2 linked regions of the Tamandua tetradactyla genome follow. The protein of the gene in region 2 interacts with the protein of the main gene of each other region in a pairwise test. Links are inferred from orthologs where the notes say so. Each region holds a gene or a part of one and is shown on either strand. Other genes may lie near its edges.

Region 1 (7,531 bases), on a different chromosome or scaffold from region 2:
CTTTCCTTCTGCAAAACTCTTGTTGGAGGTGCAACCTCCTCCCACCCAAGGTGGGTAGAGAAGCTGGGATGGATGGCAAACCTGGACAACAGAAATAAGGCTGGGAGCCAGGAGCCGAATTTACCACAAGGTTCCAAAAGGAGCCCCAGAGCAGATGGTTTTTACATCAGGCTGCTCGTAGGTACAGTGGAGAAAGGACACCCAGGGGAAGGGGTGGCATTGGGGGTCAGAGACAGGGGCTGAGGGGCTGCACTTGGAAGTTTAGGGTGAGCCCAGGGAGCCATCAGAGTGAGTGATGGCCGCAGTGGAAGGAAGGTGAGTGCTGAAGGTGGGAGAGGCTCTGCGGGAGCTCAGGAGATAGGACCAGAGGCCCTGCTGACCGAGCCCACGTTGCCCCTTTGTTCTCTGTCTCTGAGGGGTGCTTTCAACTTCCCTCGCCCATCCATCTGTTTGGTAGGAAAAAAAGCAGCTAAGGGCAGACTGCCAACCCGTGTGGCAAAGGGCCAACCCGTCTTTGCCACTGCCGACTCTGAGGTGGCAGGAGTTACAGGGGGCACCCGCTGGGGGAAGGCAGATGGGACCAGCTGCTGGAGTTGGGGCACGAGAGACTGAACGCGTGAACGAGGGCAGCTCTACAGTGGGGACCAGGCTGGGGTGGGGGCGGGTGTGGGGCCTCTGATAAGATGGGGTGTACATAGCAGCAGATGTGGGGCTTGGAGGACCAGGGATCTGGCTTTAAAGGGTTGGGGACTGAGGGTCACACCTGCCTCCAGGTTCAAAGTCACAGCCCCACAGCAGGTCTGGGGCTAGGCTTTCCCAGCTTACATGGGGGTGCGGCGGGTGGAAGGCAGTCCACGGCCACAGGCTTAGGAGTACAGCTGTGGCTAACACTCAGGTTGCCCTTAGGAGGACAGGGATGCCCTTGAACTCGGGTCCAAGGTCAGGGTGGGCAGGGGAAGCGCATGAGCCTAACTAGGAAATTCATGTTTTCTGCAACGAGATCCGTTCCTTTCCTTACTCTCTCTCTCTCTCTCTCTCTCTCTCTCATGCGCAGGCACACACACACAATCACGTTTACACTTTACATGCACACTTATATGCTCAGACACACTCTCACACACAGCCTCAATCCCACAGTGTAGTTTGTATTCCTTCTCTACCCTATGGGGCCTCATGGAGCAGAGAATCTGGCTCTGAGTCAACCACTGGAGATTCTTCGCTCCCTCCCTGCAGTTGTGGATTTTCTGCTTATCTCCTTACTTGATGCTTGTGGAGGAGACAGAATCCTGGCCCTCCAAGCCCCGTGTTTGCTGCTATCTACATCCTGCCTTCTTATCAGGCCTCCGCTTGTCTTCCACCGAACCTGTCAAGGGGTCCTGTCTGGCGGGTGCCAGAGCCCAGGCTGGGGCTCCTTGTCTGACGTGGGACCCCTTGGCCTGGCATTTGTCAGAGGGACAGGCTGGGCAGCAGGAGGCCTGCCTGGCGGGCCACAGCAGGCAGGGGCTTTGCAGTGCTGACTGTGGGCTCTCTGGGGGAGGCAGGAACATGGCCAAGTGCCCACCAAGGCGAGGCCAGGGAGACAGACCAAAGGTCTGCTCGGCCCAGACCCGCTGCCCTCTGGAGGTTGGGGTGGTGGGAGGGTGATGATGATGGATGGGGAATCTAGGGGTGGATTTTCATCAGCTGGCATTTTCTTTTTTGGATTTCTTCAGTGTCTATAGAGGAGTGGAGCTCTCAGAATAAGCAGCTGGCTATAAAATCTAATTTCAGCCAAGCATCTCGGGAATGTATGGGTTGTTTCCACACCTCTCCCTCTGTGCCCATGGTGACAGCTGAGGCTCTGGGGTCTCACTCCCTCCCCCTCCTCCCCTGGGGGCAGAGGCGAGGGTGGAGGCCCAGAAGGTCTTCAGGCTGGGTGGGAGGTTCAGGAGAAGGGGGCACAGCCCTGCTCATTGGGGTGAGGAAGACGGCTTCATGGGCATAAAGGGAAGGGAGAAAATTAAAGCAGAGGAAGGGGGCAGCTCTGGAAAGAAAGCATTGGTAGTGACTTTGCAAGAAGCCTTGACGTTTTGCTCCCCCCCCACCCCCCCTGCTCCAAACTGGGCTCCTGAGCAAGTCCACACTCCTGGCCCTGAGCCCCACGCTGCTCGCCCACTGATCTCCCCTGTTCCTCACTTCACAATGTGGCTTGAGATTCCTGTCCTACTCTACATACCTGTTCCCCATGCCAGATGTCCCCTTCCCTCCCTGAGCTTTTGCACATCACCCTTGCCGTTGGAATGTTCTTTCTCCGGGCCCAGACAAGATGGTGAATCAGGTCTGGTTTGGGAATATCGTCCCACTCTGCAGCATCAAGGACCATCTTCCTTGGATCACCAGGGATGATGGATCTTCCAGGGGTCACCAGCTCAGGGGCTTCAAACTGTGCCCCATGGCCGGGGGACTTACGGCAGGCCACAGAGTATCCGCCTTCAACCAGGCTGTCCTACTCTTACTGATGGCATTTGTTTTGCTTCCAAGTAAAATTTGGTTTGAACAAAGAGTTGAAGAGCTAAATAGTAAGAGAAGAACCACTCATCTAACCCCTAATTTGCAGAGGAGAAAGCTGGCCCAGAGAAGTTAAGGATAAAGACTCCAGCAGGCCTCCTGGCCTAACTGTCATTCAGGTTGTCCCATCGCCCTACCCAGGGGAAGACCAGTCACGCCGTGATTTATGTGAATACACACCCCTGGGCACAACTGCATGGTCTGAAATGTGAATAGCCCCCCCTGGAGTTGTCATAAGGTAGCTCCTCTATCCCATGTTCCACACAATTCATCTTCTGTCTGTTCCCTCTGTGTGAACGTCAACAGCCACTTATTATCCCAGGATAAAATCTAAATTCAGCTCGTCATTCAAGACTCTCGTGGGTGAGCCTCAGCTTCCCTTTTCAGCCATATTTTCCATGGACTCTATCCTGTTACCCACAGCAGTTGGTAAACTTTTTCCGCAAAGGGCCAGAGAGTAAATAGGTTTTATCATACAGCCAGATTTGGCCAATAGGCTGTAATTTGCTGATCCCGTCCCACTTTTGTTTCTTTCTTTTTATTTATTTTTTATTATTATTATTTTTTACATGGGCAGGCACTGGGAATCGAACCCGGGTCCTCTGGCATGGCAGGCAAGCATTCTTGCCTGCTGAGCCACCATGGCCTGCCTGCAGTTTTGGTTCTTATATTGCTTCTTCTCCTTTATTAGATTTCTCTCTCTCATGGATGAATGAGTGAATGAATAAATGAAAGAATGAACAGACAAATATTTACCCCATCCTGAGCCACTGGAATCTGCTGTCTGATTTCTTCTTCCCTGGTGTATGACTCTCTCCCAAGGCATACCTGGGTAGATGGGGAGGGGGGAGCAGAAGCTATGAGGTTTTCACACTAACGACCCCTCTGTGTCCTCTAGGTGCTGCCCCCCTGCCACCATGCCGGAAGTGTGAGTAATCCGCCCCCCTTATGCTTCGGGAAGGCCTGTGCCTTGGCTGAGCTCAGCCCCTCACTGAGGGACCATTCTGCTCTACCCAGCCTCTGATGGTTTCCCCAGAATGTTGCCACACGCCCTCCCAGTCTTCGAGCGGAACTCATGCCCAGCAGCTGAGCAAACTGCTGGTTTGCCCAGGGAAGACCATTTTGGCCTGTGTTTCAGAGTTTGTGTGTTTGCGCTGATCAAATGAAATGCTGGCTGCCAGGCCCTGACTTAGCATTGGCCTAGTAGATGAACAGAGTGTTGGCAATTTACCCAAAAAGCCCAGGATGGATCCTTTCTCATCCCTGGACTTCTACATTGAGGCTGGAAAAACTCTGACTTCCCTCATCTCCCACCATCCCTCATCTCTCGCCATCCCTCCCTGCACTTACAATGACCATTATCTCCCAGTAAGAACTTCTGGCAGCCCAAAGGGCAGTTGTGTCTTTATTCCATCCTATGGAACCCTTGAATTAGACCCCTGCCCTTCCCCCACGGCTGCCTCCCTGCCTTCTCTCTGCTGCGTTGTCCTCCCTCTCCCCCCAAGCTGGAGGGCGTGTGTCTGCTGCTGCATGTATAACACGCATTGTTCATACTCATTTTGTGTTCTGCTCTTTCTCCCTGACCTTCCTGCGATGGATGCCTAAAGAGAAGTAAGTGATATTTGGGGTGTCTTTTTTTTTTCTTGGTTAATTCTTCAGACTGATGAAGGTGGGGTGGGCATCTGAGGAGAGGAGTGAGTTTGGGTCAAGACTGGGGTGGGGGAAGGCCCAGCAGCTGAGCCAATTTCCAGAATAGAAACCTCGGTGGAAGATTCTGGAGGCAAGGCTGGCAGTTGGCACTCCAGTGCACCATGCCGCTGAGAAGGGGATCCTGGGGCTGGGCCCACAGCTGAGCTGGGTGTGGCTCTGCCCCGTCTCCTCACTCTACACCTTTGCCAAGCACTGAGCAAATTCATGCTCCCTATGTCTGGGAGCTCGTCCAGCCCTGGGGGTGGGGTGGGGTGGGTGGGCATCATGTTCCCTGCAGAGCTGGCCGTGAGCAAAGCCATATTTGAGGCAGAGGAGGGGATGGTTATTGGGATATTATTCCACTCCTGTCCAATGACTAAACTTTGAGGAAGGAGCAAACAGGTGTCCTCAGACCCCCCTCAGGTCTTAGATACCCCTGACTCTGGTCATTCTGTACAATCCATATTTATTCAGGCTACTGAGAACATAGCCTGTGCGCGGCCTGGGGATGGGGGCTGCAGGGAGAGACCTGAGGACTCAGGGATGATGTGTGGAGGAATTAGGAGCACTGATGGAGGGATATTTCACAGAGATTCTCTGTAAGAATTGAATGTGCTCATTTTTTTTTAATTTTTAATTTTTTCCTAAACATAACAACATACAAACATGAACATCCTTACCAGATGATCATTCCATTCTTGGTATATAATAATAACTCACAATATCATCACATAGTTGTATATTCATCACCATGATGAATATGCTAATTTTTTTCATTTTAAAAAAATCTAAGAATTTAATTTTTAAGTTAAAAAAACAACAAACAAATGCAAACATTCTTAACTTATGATCAGTCTGTTCTACATATATAATCAGTAATTCACAATATCATCACATAGTTGCATATTCATCATCATGATCATTTCTTAGAACTTTTGCATCAATTCAGAAAAAGACATAAAAGACAACAGAAAAAAATTCATACATACCATACCCCTTACCTCTCCCTTTCGTTGATCACTAGCATTTCAATCTAAATTTATTTTAACATTTGTTCCCCCATTACTTATTTTTATTCCATATGTTTTACTCATCTGTTGATAAGGTAGATAAAAGGAGCATCAGACACAAGTTTTTCACAATCACAGACACATTGTGAAAGCTATATCATTATATAATCATCTTCAAGAAACATGGCTACTGGAACACAGCTCCACATTTTCAGGCAATTCCCTCCAGCCTCTCCATTACATCTCAACTAACAAGGCTATATCTATTTAATGCATAAGAATAACCTCCAGATAACCTCTCTACTCTGTTTAGAATCTCTCAGCCATTGACACTTTATTTTGTCTCATTTCACTCTTCCCCCTTTTGGTTGAGAAGGTTTTCTCAATCCCTTGATGCTGAGTCTCAGCTCATTCTAGGATTTCTGTCCCACGTTGCCAGGAAGGTCCACAGCCCTGGGAGTCACGTCCCACATAGACACGGGGAGGGCAGTGAGTTTGCTGGTTGTGTTGGCTGGGTAGAGAGGCCACATCTGAGCAACAAACGAGATTCCCTTGGGGGTGACTCTTAGGCCTTATCTTAAGTAGACTTGACCTATCCTTTGTGGGGTTAAGTTACATATGAACAAATCCCAAGATTGGGGGCTCAGCCTATTGCTTTGGTTGTCTTGAATGTGCTGAGTTTTGATAGTCATATGAATCTCTAACTCCATTTTGCTGAGGTTCATACTTAAGTGAGGTTCATACACATCGATTGGTGGTTCAGTGAGGTGGCCCATAAGTTCACCAAGTGGTTGGGAAAACAAACACCAATGGAATATTTGCCATGGGTACATTACAATGTGTAAAGCATAGGAGAAAGCAATTATGGTAGTAGTCCATTTCTCTTATCCGAAACATAGCACACTTATCTGAAACATAGCAAAAGCCTAGGCTCTAAGGGAGGAAAAAAGATAAACAAACTACCCTCAACCATCAGCTTAGAAGTCACACTTTCCATGCACTAAAGTTCATTCATTTTCTCTCATGAGAGCTGCTCACTCAAAGTCTGATCATTGGTACTTTACAGATTAGAATAACAAACTAGAGCTATGCTTCCCCACACATTAGAAGTAGATAGGATGCTCACTGGTAACTATGAAAATTGATGACCTATGGTTGAGAAAGGACAGATCCTCGGAAGGCACAGTGGTCTCACCGGTTAGGGGTTGAGCAGCTCACTCACCTCCACTGCCCCTGCTGTGAGAATGAGATTTAGCAGAACAGAACTGGTTGGCAAGAACATATTTAGTAAAATTGATAAGAAGAGAATATAGTGTCTTTACAACTTTGAAAAATTTATATGGATGATGTTAACATTGAAGATAGTTTTGATGTCTAAAGAGATGTGTTTTGTTTGTGTGGGAAACAGCTTATTTCTCTAGCACAACAGATCATCAGGATATTCCTATATGAGCATTCAGAATACTATCAACGTGCATCTCTTTTGTGCCTTTCAAAGACTTGCACATCCTTAATCTCATCTTGTTTGTCATAACTTGGTGAACTAAGTAAAGCGGGTCCCAGTATCCCTATTTACAGGTGAGGAAGGGGTGACCATGAAAGTTGTGTGACCTGCACAGTATCCTACAGGATTGCACCAGCAGCAGAACCAGAATGGGCAGTGAGAGCTTTGGTCCCTAGGTTGAGATAGCTGACTACAGTATTCTTTCTGAAGTTGGTGGGTTCAATCAGGAAGATGAGCTTTTAAGGGACACTATGGGAAGCAGAGGACTCTGGGTAGTGATGGTGAACCCAAGTTGGTGCTTATCCCAACCTAGACCGGAATTCCAATTCTGCAGGCTCAGCCTCACCATCTGCCTCTCCCCTTTCTTGTCCTCAGAGAAAATCCAAGATCACCGCCTCCCGCAAACTCTTGCTGAAGGTGAGGCCGGGTGCTAGCTTCAGGGGGAAGCAGAGGGAGTGCAGTGAAGCTTCTGAGGGGGCATGGAGGGGCACTGAAGGGTGAAGAGGAAGGAGACCACAGCGAGGACGCCAGTTTGCTGACGGAGAGGTCGAGGGAATCTGGCTGTGGCCCAGAACCAACACCTGGGCACAGGTGACCAGTGGAGGGCACCTCAAGCTATGAAGTGCTGACACCTGCCTAGGGTCCTGAGAGGAGGTGACCAGCTTCAGGGTGGAAATCCACAGGTGACAGCAGAGGGACTTACTTCGGCAAGAGTTTCTTCCTTTGGGTCCCTGCGGGGCCAAAACAGATAAAAAAAATTGTGGGTAAGATGAGAACTGTT
Region 2 (7,824 bases):
GGAGAACACCTTCCCTTGTAAAAAATGTGGCAGGTAAGATGGCAGGCTCTGCCTCCATGGGTTCTCCAGTAGGGGGGCGGGTCAGAAAGTCTGATTGGGCGGGGGAAGAGGTCTACCTTGTCTTCTGATTGGCTTATTGGGTTTCTGGGGCAGTGACATCGTTTGGCAGCTTTTAGAAGAGAGGCATGGCGCTGAGTCAGGAGCCTTCCCCCTCGGTTCTGGGAGAGGGGGAAGCTGGGCTGTGTGGCCTGGGGCACGTCGGGAAGGCCTCCGTTGGAGCCCTCCTCACACACATACACACACACTCACACTCACACTCTCTAAGGCCCCCGCTGGAGCCCCCCTCACGCACACGCACACTCTCACTCACTCCCCCGCCTCCCCAGTGGTCCCCGGGGACTGGGAGGACCAGACCACTTATGTGAACTCCCGCCTGTGCCCGGCTGCAGGGTATTCTACAAGGTGAAGAGCCGCAGCGCCCACATGAAGAGCCACGCAGAGCAGGAGAAGAAGGCTGCAGCTCTGAGACAGCGGGAGAAGGAGGCCGCCGCCGCCGCCGCAGCAGCAGCTGCAGCCGCCGCCGCCTCCCCACACCCGCAGGCCCTGCGGGACGACGGCGGCGCTGGCGAGAAGGGCTGACGGCAGGGAGGGCGCGGCCGGGCGAGCCTCGGCCCGGGCCCCCCACCCCCGGCCCCTCCCCGCACCCGCCTACGGAAGCGCCTGGAAACACCCTGGAACCTCCGGAGGGAGTGAGAAGAGAATACCATAGACTTTCCTCTGAAAAAAAAAAAACAAACCAGACAGTCAAATAAATGGCTCTTTTATTTATAAAGGCCCCAAGGAGCAGTGTTAATGGGCAGCAGCATCCAGTTCTCTTTGCATTTAGTCTGTTGGAAGTTGTCCTCATGCTTTCGTGGAACCGTGAGAGTCCCCACTTGGGCTGCCTCCTCCGAAGGGGCTCCAGCCTCTGCGGCCGGCCGCTGCTGCCACCTCTCACACTCTGACCTCTGCTGCCGCTCGGTCTCTTCCCTTCTTCCTTGCTGTCCCATCCTCCCTCCCCTCAGTCTCCAGGAAGCCGCCTTGGCAAGCCAAGCACAAACTCACCCCCAAGCTTACCCCCATGGCAGCATTATTCCCCCTCTCCAGAGGACCTCAGAGGCCTGGCCCCCATCCCGAAAAAAAGGCACTGTTGGCGGGAATGTGGTGGTCCAGGCCTTAAGCTGCTCCGTGACTATGTCCTCAGAAAGGCCACCTTCTCCTGGGAGGCCTCCAGAATGCATCGTGGGAGAGTCGGAGGACAGGTACCTATCCCATTGTTGCTTGCTAGCAGCCCTGTTGGGGTTGGAAAGTTTTCTCAAATGTTTGGGGAAGGGGGCCGGGTCCCTGTCTGAACGCTTAGCCTGCTGAAAGGAAGGAAGCAGAGCTTTTGACAAACCTGGCTCTTCCTGCTTCCCACCTCTTTGCCAAATACTTTCTTGGCCCTGGAGGTTGCCATGGGAGTTTAGCCTCGAGCAAGGCCTGCAGAGGCCTGGAGCCATCCCCAGCCACCCAGCCGGTGCCTCTGTGCGGCAAGTACCCTACCTGCCTTTGTCCTGCCCTCAGCAGTTACCCCCCAACTCCCCTCAGCACTGTCTAGTGCTGATGCCCACAGCTCAGCTTCCCAATCCTGCACGCTGGAGATTTCTGGATCTTTCCCTGGGAGAGGGAGGTCTCCTAAGTAGATTGGAAAGGAGCCTTCATTTCCTTGACTGGTGTCATTCAGGAGCTATTTATTTATTCTTGATATTTAAGTTTTAACATCCTCTCAGGGACCAGGGGGCCGCCTGCTTTCCAGAGGCCCAAGTGCATTTATCCCCAAACAAGGCACCTTCTTGGCACCACTCCCCTGCCTCCCCCCTCAGTCCCAAACCCTAAGGTCCACGCCTTGTTGCTCTGGAAGCTCTTGCCGGTAGGAATGATGGCAGCATTGAAAGATGGTAAAAAAAAAGGTGGAGGGTGTCGGGAGCTAGCAGGAGCATTTGGGAGATCAAAGGCAGTTTTTATTTGCTGCTACTTCCCTGGCTGTACTTTCAGATCGCCTGAGGGGATTGACAGGAGGCCAGAATTCTAATTTTGTTTATCACGCCTAGATTCTGGCTTGAAGAAGCCATATTTGGCATGGAGTCACTGAGGCAAAAGGGCTGGAAGGTTTTAGAGGCCTCTTCAGTTGCCAGTCCCATAGGAGAGCTGAGTTATTTTTCTGTTCTTGTTATTCAGCTTGAACTGTGTAGGAGTTCTAAGTGAATACAAGTAAATGACAGGTCATACATTTTAGAAAGAAACCCCACAGTATGCATTCTGCTACTCCTTTTGAAATAGCCGCCTAAAAGCATCATGTTAGTAACTGAGAGTGGGGAGGGAGTTTTGTTTCTAAACTATGCACTATCAGGTATTTTTCAATATTCATTTATTCATTCATGTGCTTCTACCGGACCCCAGCTATAAGAGTAACAAAATTCTTCTCCCTCCCCGACTCCTGGATGACCCCATATATTTCCAGCTTCCTAGTCAGTTTCTTCCATAGACTTCTATAAGCTACATGGCCCAAGATTGCAAAAATCTGTTACCCTTCTAGAAGCAGGAGGGTAGCAAATTTAGACTAACTTTTAAATCACTTGTGGAATATGAGTGCCTTCTCAGCTTAGCTCCAAAGTGCTACTTCTGTGTCCCATGTTTGTTTTTTTGTTTAAACTGTATTTAGTTTCAGGCCTCTTCATGGGCGTATAAAGGAAACAACCTTCAGTTTCATGAGACCCTGCTGACCAGTGGTAGCATCCAGTCCTTTGACATCTTTTTTTAACAAGAAAATGATTTCTTCTCAGCTCACGAAGACCAGACCAGGCGAATGTAGATGGGGAAAGTATTAATTGTCCAGCAGCCTATCTACCAGATACCATATTTTAGGAGGATCCATGCTTAAGGATGGATTTATATCTAGAATGCAGTGTGAAAATTAAAATGCTCAGAGGGCAGATGCAATTGTGGCAAGTGCCCCGCCAATACAGTTGATGCAGCCATAGAAGCTGGTATGTATATCTCTCATGGTGCTTTCTCCCTGTGAACACAGTCAATTCATTACCCACCCCCTCCATTTTTTCCTCTTCAGAGCTCTTTGCTGTAGGAAGTTGTGACAAAACCTCCAGTTTCATAATGCCCTCCTACACTGTCCCACCATATCCATCTTCCAGCCTCCACCTGCACTCAGCTAAGGGCATGACACTGACCTAGTGCCTGTATTCCAGACCATTTCTGAGGTCTCTTACCTACCCGAGGAAGCAGTGCTGTCAGCACTGTCCTCCATGCCTTCAGCAGCCCCCTCAAGCCCTTTCTGCCGCCCCACCTCCCGCTGTGCTAAGTGAGGTCCACCCTAGCACAGAGGTCACATGCTGCTTGTGTCTTAAGGGATGGCCTATGTTTAACTGCCTCAATGATGTAACCTCTTTCTTATGTGCCAGATGTTAAGATGAAGGAGGAATACACATATACTCCAGCCTCAGCTGTTTAAATGTGTTTTCACTGGGGCCTACTTTCCTTGGATCGTTTATTACCAGACTGGCAAGCCTAACTCCTTAGGTTTACAGGAAGTATGCATATTTTTATAAAACAATTCTGCATCCTCCCCACATTTGGCTGTGTTACTATTTGCCTCTAACAATTTGCAGCTGTTATCACTTTTTCTTCATTGTCTCTCAAGTTGAAGGCCTTGTTGGAGGGGACAGAGCACAGGAACAGCCTTGACAGTCTGTAATTATTGTACAAATATTTTAATAGCATATAAATACTATATTCCTTTTATTTTGAAAAAAAAAAGATCAGACACTGCCTTTTGTGTGTTTGCTGCCTGTGGCACCCTTTTTTAAAAAGACTGTTACATATTAAACTAGTGTACATATATTATAAATATTACCTCTTTTGCTGTACAGTTGTGATAGACCAGACTGAAAATTTTATTTTTTGTGTGCTTTTTATAAAAAAAAAAATTAATACACTAAAGAAAATCTTGCTGATGTGATTGTAACGTACCTATGTAACTTATTTACTTTTGAATGTTCTTCTGTATCTTTAAACCTTTTATTAAATAAGGTTTTAAAAATTCAGAGTTGAATGCTGTGTTCTTTTGCTTTGTTTTTTTCACCAACTGGGGTTGACATAATTAGGCCTTGTTTTGCATACAAGGGATGACACTGGACATTTTTGTACACGGATTCTGTTTTACCAGCTCATTGTCGACGCTAGGACAAGAAAAAATTCACACTGATGGTGTCCTTGCTACAAAGGTGACTGAGTAGAAATAATGTATCTACTACCAAGTTTTAGGTAAGAAAATATTTAAACTCAGTGTCGCACACAAAAACATAAATGACATGCCTCCTGGTTTCATTGGAATTAAATGCAGGATGCAGGGTATGGTCAGGTGGCCGGGGTGTTGAGAACATTTTATTATGCAGCATAGACTAACTGAATGAGCGACCTCAATACACAGGCCTGAATGATGGGTGCATTTTCAACAATATTTTAAGTCTACTCTAGATCCTTATTTTTAAACACGGTGCTTAGCATATTTGTTCACTGTAAAAAAAACAAACAAACCGGAAAACGTGAAAAAGGAAATGCGCCATCAAAAAAACCATTGCCCACAGCCTGTCGCTGGCACCATGGCAACGAATCGACTCAGCCCGCCACGGGAGCGCGCGCATTTCCCGTCGCCTGGGACACCGTTGCCATGGTTACACGCGCGCTTGCTCCGTCGTGGGGGCGGGGCGCGCTCGACGCCTCGCGATTTGGGCGGCGCCCTCCACTGCGGCAGAAGCTCCTGAGCTCGCTGTGAGGAGGACGCTCTGGTCGCCACGCTGCACCAGAGCCCGCTGCGACCGGCGCGCTCGGCTGCCCCTACCCTCGGTCGTCTCAGCCGCCATAGCCTCGCCTCTCCGTCCTTCTAGCCCGTCTGCCGCCTCGGTCCCCGGTCATCGTCGCTGCCTAGAAAGGTCCCTGCGCCCGCGGAGAAACCATTCCCGGCTCGCCTGGTCTGGCCGCCGTCGCCTCTGCAACGTTGGAACAGCTCCCTCGGTGGACGGCAGAGTTCTCCAGGCCGCCGCCCTGAAGGCCTAGCTCCGTCCGCCAACGCCTGATCGACGCCCGGAGCGGCTGAGAGCAGAGGCGGCCACGCCCCGCAACCACACCCCGGCGGCCTCTTCGGCCCGGAGGCTCCAGCCTTCTCGACCCGCCCTCTCTTCTCGCCTTCCTCGTCGCGAGTCAACGCCCTGTCTGCAGGCGACGGACCTCGGCCGTGGAGCCGACCGGAGACGCAAGATGGCGCCGGCCGCGTGACTTACTAGACTGAGCGTCCGCGAGGCCTCGCTCCGAGAACGCCCGGACGGACTTACGAGAGTAGTACTTTGGGGTAGGGGAAGGGCGAGGGCAGGACTTTGGTATCATTTGTTAGTTGTAATTGCGGGAAGCTTGCCCCCCTCGTGTTTGTTCGGGGGAGAGTCTGGTATTGTGCTAAGCCCTAGGCCAAAGCCACAATCGAATTCGTACTTGTAAGGGTGCCGCCACTTGATAGTTGGGAAAATGGCGATGACATTGTTGGAAGACTGGTGCAGGGGGATGGATGTGAACTCCCAGAGAGCCTTGCTGGTCTGGGGAATCCCAGTGAATTGTGATGAGGCTGAAATCGAAGAGACCCTCCAGGCAGCAATGCCCCAGGTACCCTATCGAGTGCTTGGGAGAATGTTCTGGAGGGAAGAGAATGCGAAAGCAGCCTTGTTAGAGCTCACTGGTGCTGTAGATTACGCCGCTATCCCCCGGGAGATGCCGGGTAAAGGCGGGGTCTGGAAAGTGGTCTTTAAGCCCCCAACTTCTGATGCTGAGTTTTTGGAAAGGCTGCATCTTTTCCTAGCGAGAGAGGGGTGGACCGTGCAAGATGTTGCTCGGGTCCTTGGATTTCAGAACCCCGCTCCGGCCCCAGGCCCAGAAATGCCAGCAGAGATGCTAAATTATATTTTGGATAATGTTATTCAGCCTCTTGTTGAGTCTATCTGGTACAAGAAGCTGACCCTGTTTTCGGGGAGAGATATTCCGGGGCCTGGGGAGGAGACTTTTGATCCCTGGTTAGAGCACACTAATGAGGTCATGGAGGAGTGGCAGGTGTCTGATGTAGAAAAGAGGCGGCGGTTGATTGAGAGTCTTAGAGGCCCCGCCTCTGATGTCATTCGCATCCTCAAGACCAACAACCCCGCCATAACCACTGCCGAATGTCTGAAGGCTCTTGAGCAGGTGTTTGGGAGTGTGGAGAGCTCTAGAGATGCGCAGGTCAGATTTCTGAACACTTATCAGAACCCTGGAGAAAAGTTATCTGCTTATGTCATTCGTCTGGAGCCTCTGCTGCAGAAGGTGGTGGACAAGGGGGCCATCGATAAAGATAACGTGAACCAGGCCCGCCTGGAGCAAGTCATTGCGGGGGCCAACCACAGCGGGGCTATCCGAAGGCAGCTATGGCTGACTGGGGCTGCGGAAGGGCCGGCCCCTAACCTCTTCCAGTTGCTGGTGCAGATCCGCGAGGAGGAGGCCAAGGAGGAGGAGGAGGAGGCTGAGGCAGCCCTCCTGCAGTTAGGCCTGGAGGGGCACTTCTAAGTCCCTGGAAAAAGGGGGCTTTAGGGCAGACCTAGATCACGTCTGCTCCATTGTTTGTGTTATAGGTGTGTTCTCTGATTAGTAAATCCATAGAAGTGTTCTGTTGTGTTCTTTTTGGGGTGGGGGGAGGGGGAGTCCGGCCTGCATATTAGTGTAACATTTGTAAAATTGCAAGCGAGCACTGTGAGCTGCTGCAACAGTGCAAGTGCATCATGCTGGCTGAAATGCCAGGTAAAGGCTTGAATACGTGCTCAGTGTGAGCTGTCATCGTGGCATCATTGTCAGTTGTGAAAAACAAGTGAACCTGTGCGCTTCCCATCAAGGTTGTTAAATGAGAAATTGCATGTTCAGACAGCACAAGGCTTAGCTGAAAGGAAGTGTTCAGTAAAAATGTGAACTTTTATTGTTACTAATATCGTGCATAGTTTGTGCTTACTGTATATTGTTCCTAGTTTATATTAATGGAAAAGAAATGTGAATTTATTAGATATTTGTTATTTAACTATAAAGTGCAATTTCATATTTCTCATCTTTAAATGTCTCTCAGTTTAATTGAAAAGTATTCTGAGACTACAAAATGGGGTGTTTGAAAAATACTGCAACTGTAGAGGTGTGTAAATCAAGAATTTTGATACAAGATACAGATATAAATCGCCTGAGAAGTTGATAACCTGCAGAATAATCCATTCCCCCATTCTCCATCTTTGTCATCAAATAGTAGGTCTCCTTATTCTTGCTGATTCTAAGTGTTCTAAAATTTGAAATTGTTTAATAGATGTATGCTAATAAAAAGATTTAAAACTTATTGTCTGATTTTGTCATGTATAAAATTCTTCAGTGTAATTTCAGCTCTCTCTCCTTTTCTTACAATTTTTTTCCTTTTTAACAAAATCAAACCTTGATTTATTTTTAAGCTTTATCATTATGAGTTAAAATTGTAATTTCTTTTAATATATTCAATTTTTACATGTTTTTAAGGCAAATATTAGGAAGTTAAATAGATATAAGTAAAATAAAAATTTTTAGGTTAATTTTGAGATGGGGTTTAGGGAGGGTATCTGGCAATGTTTTTATTTCCTTTTTAAATCCCTTCTCAGCAAAAATTTTGTTTCACTGAAGTAGTAACTGACTCAGTATACATTCATGTGTAAA

What was found.
Region 1: the proteins of PNMA1 (region 2) and TNNI1 interact in binary tests that used the Homo sapiens proteins (3 or more experiments, as listed by UniProt). The two-hybrid records come from large-scale screens. The link is inferred for Tamandua tetradactyla from reciprocal best matches to the Homo sapiens genes PNMA1 and TNNI1.

Annotation. Positions count from the first base shown.
Region 1 is NC_135330.1:58,480,429-58,487,959, reverse strand, and holds the start of TNNI1 (troponin I, slow skeletal muscle), read left to right. Parts: upstream 1-4,521; coding exon 4,522-4,542; intron 4,543-7,125; coding exon 7,126-7,167; intron 7,168-7,531. UniProt on the Homo sapiens protein: Troponin I is the inhibitory subunit of troponin, the thin filament regulatory complex which confers calcium-sensitivity to striated muscle actomyosin ATPase activity.
Region 2 is NC_135338.1:32,581,945-32,589,768, reverse strand, and holds PNMA1 (paraneoplastic antigen Ma1), read left to right. Parts: upstream 1-4,820; 5' UTR 4,821-5,610; coding exon 5,611-6,672; 3' UTR 6,673-7,477; downstream 7,478-7,824. Other genes in the region: MIDEAS (mitotic deacetylase-associated SANT domain protein), read left to right, coding at 1-33, 450-639.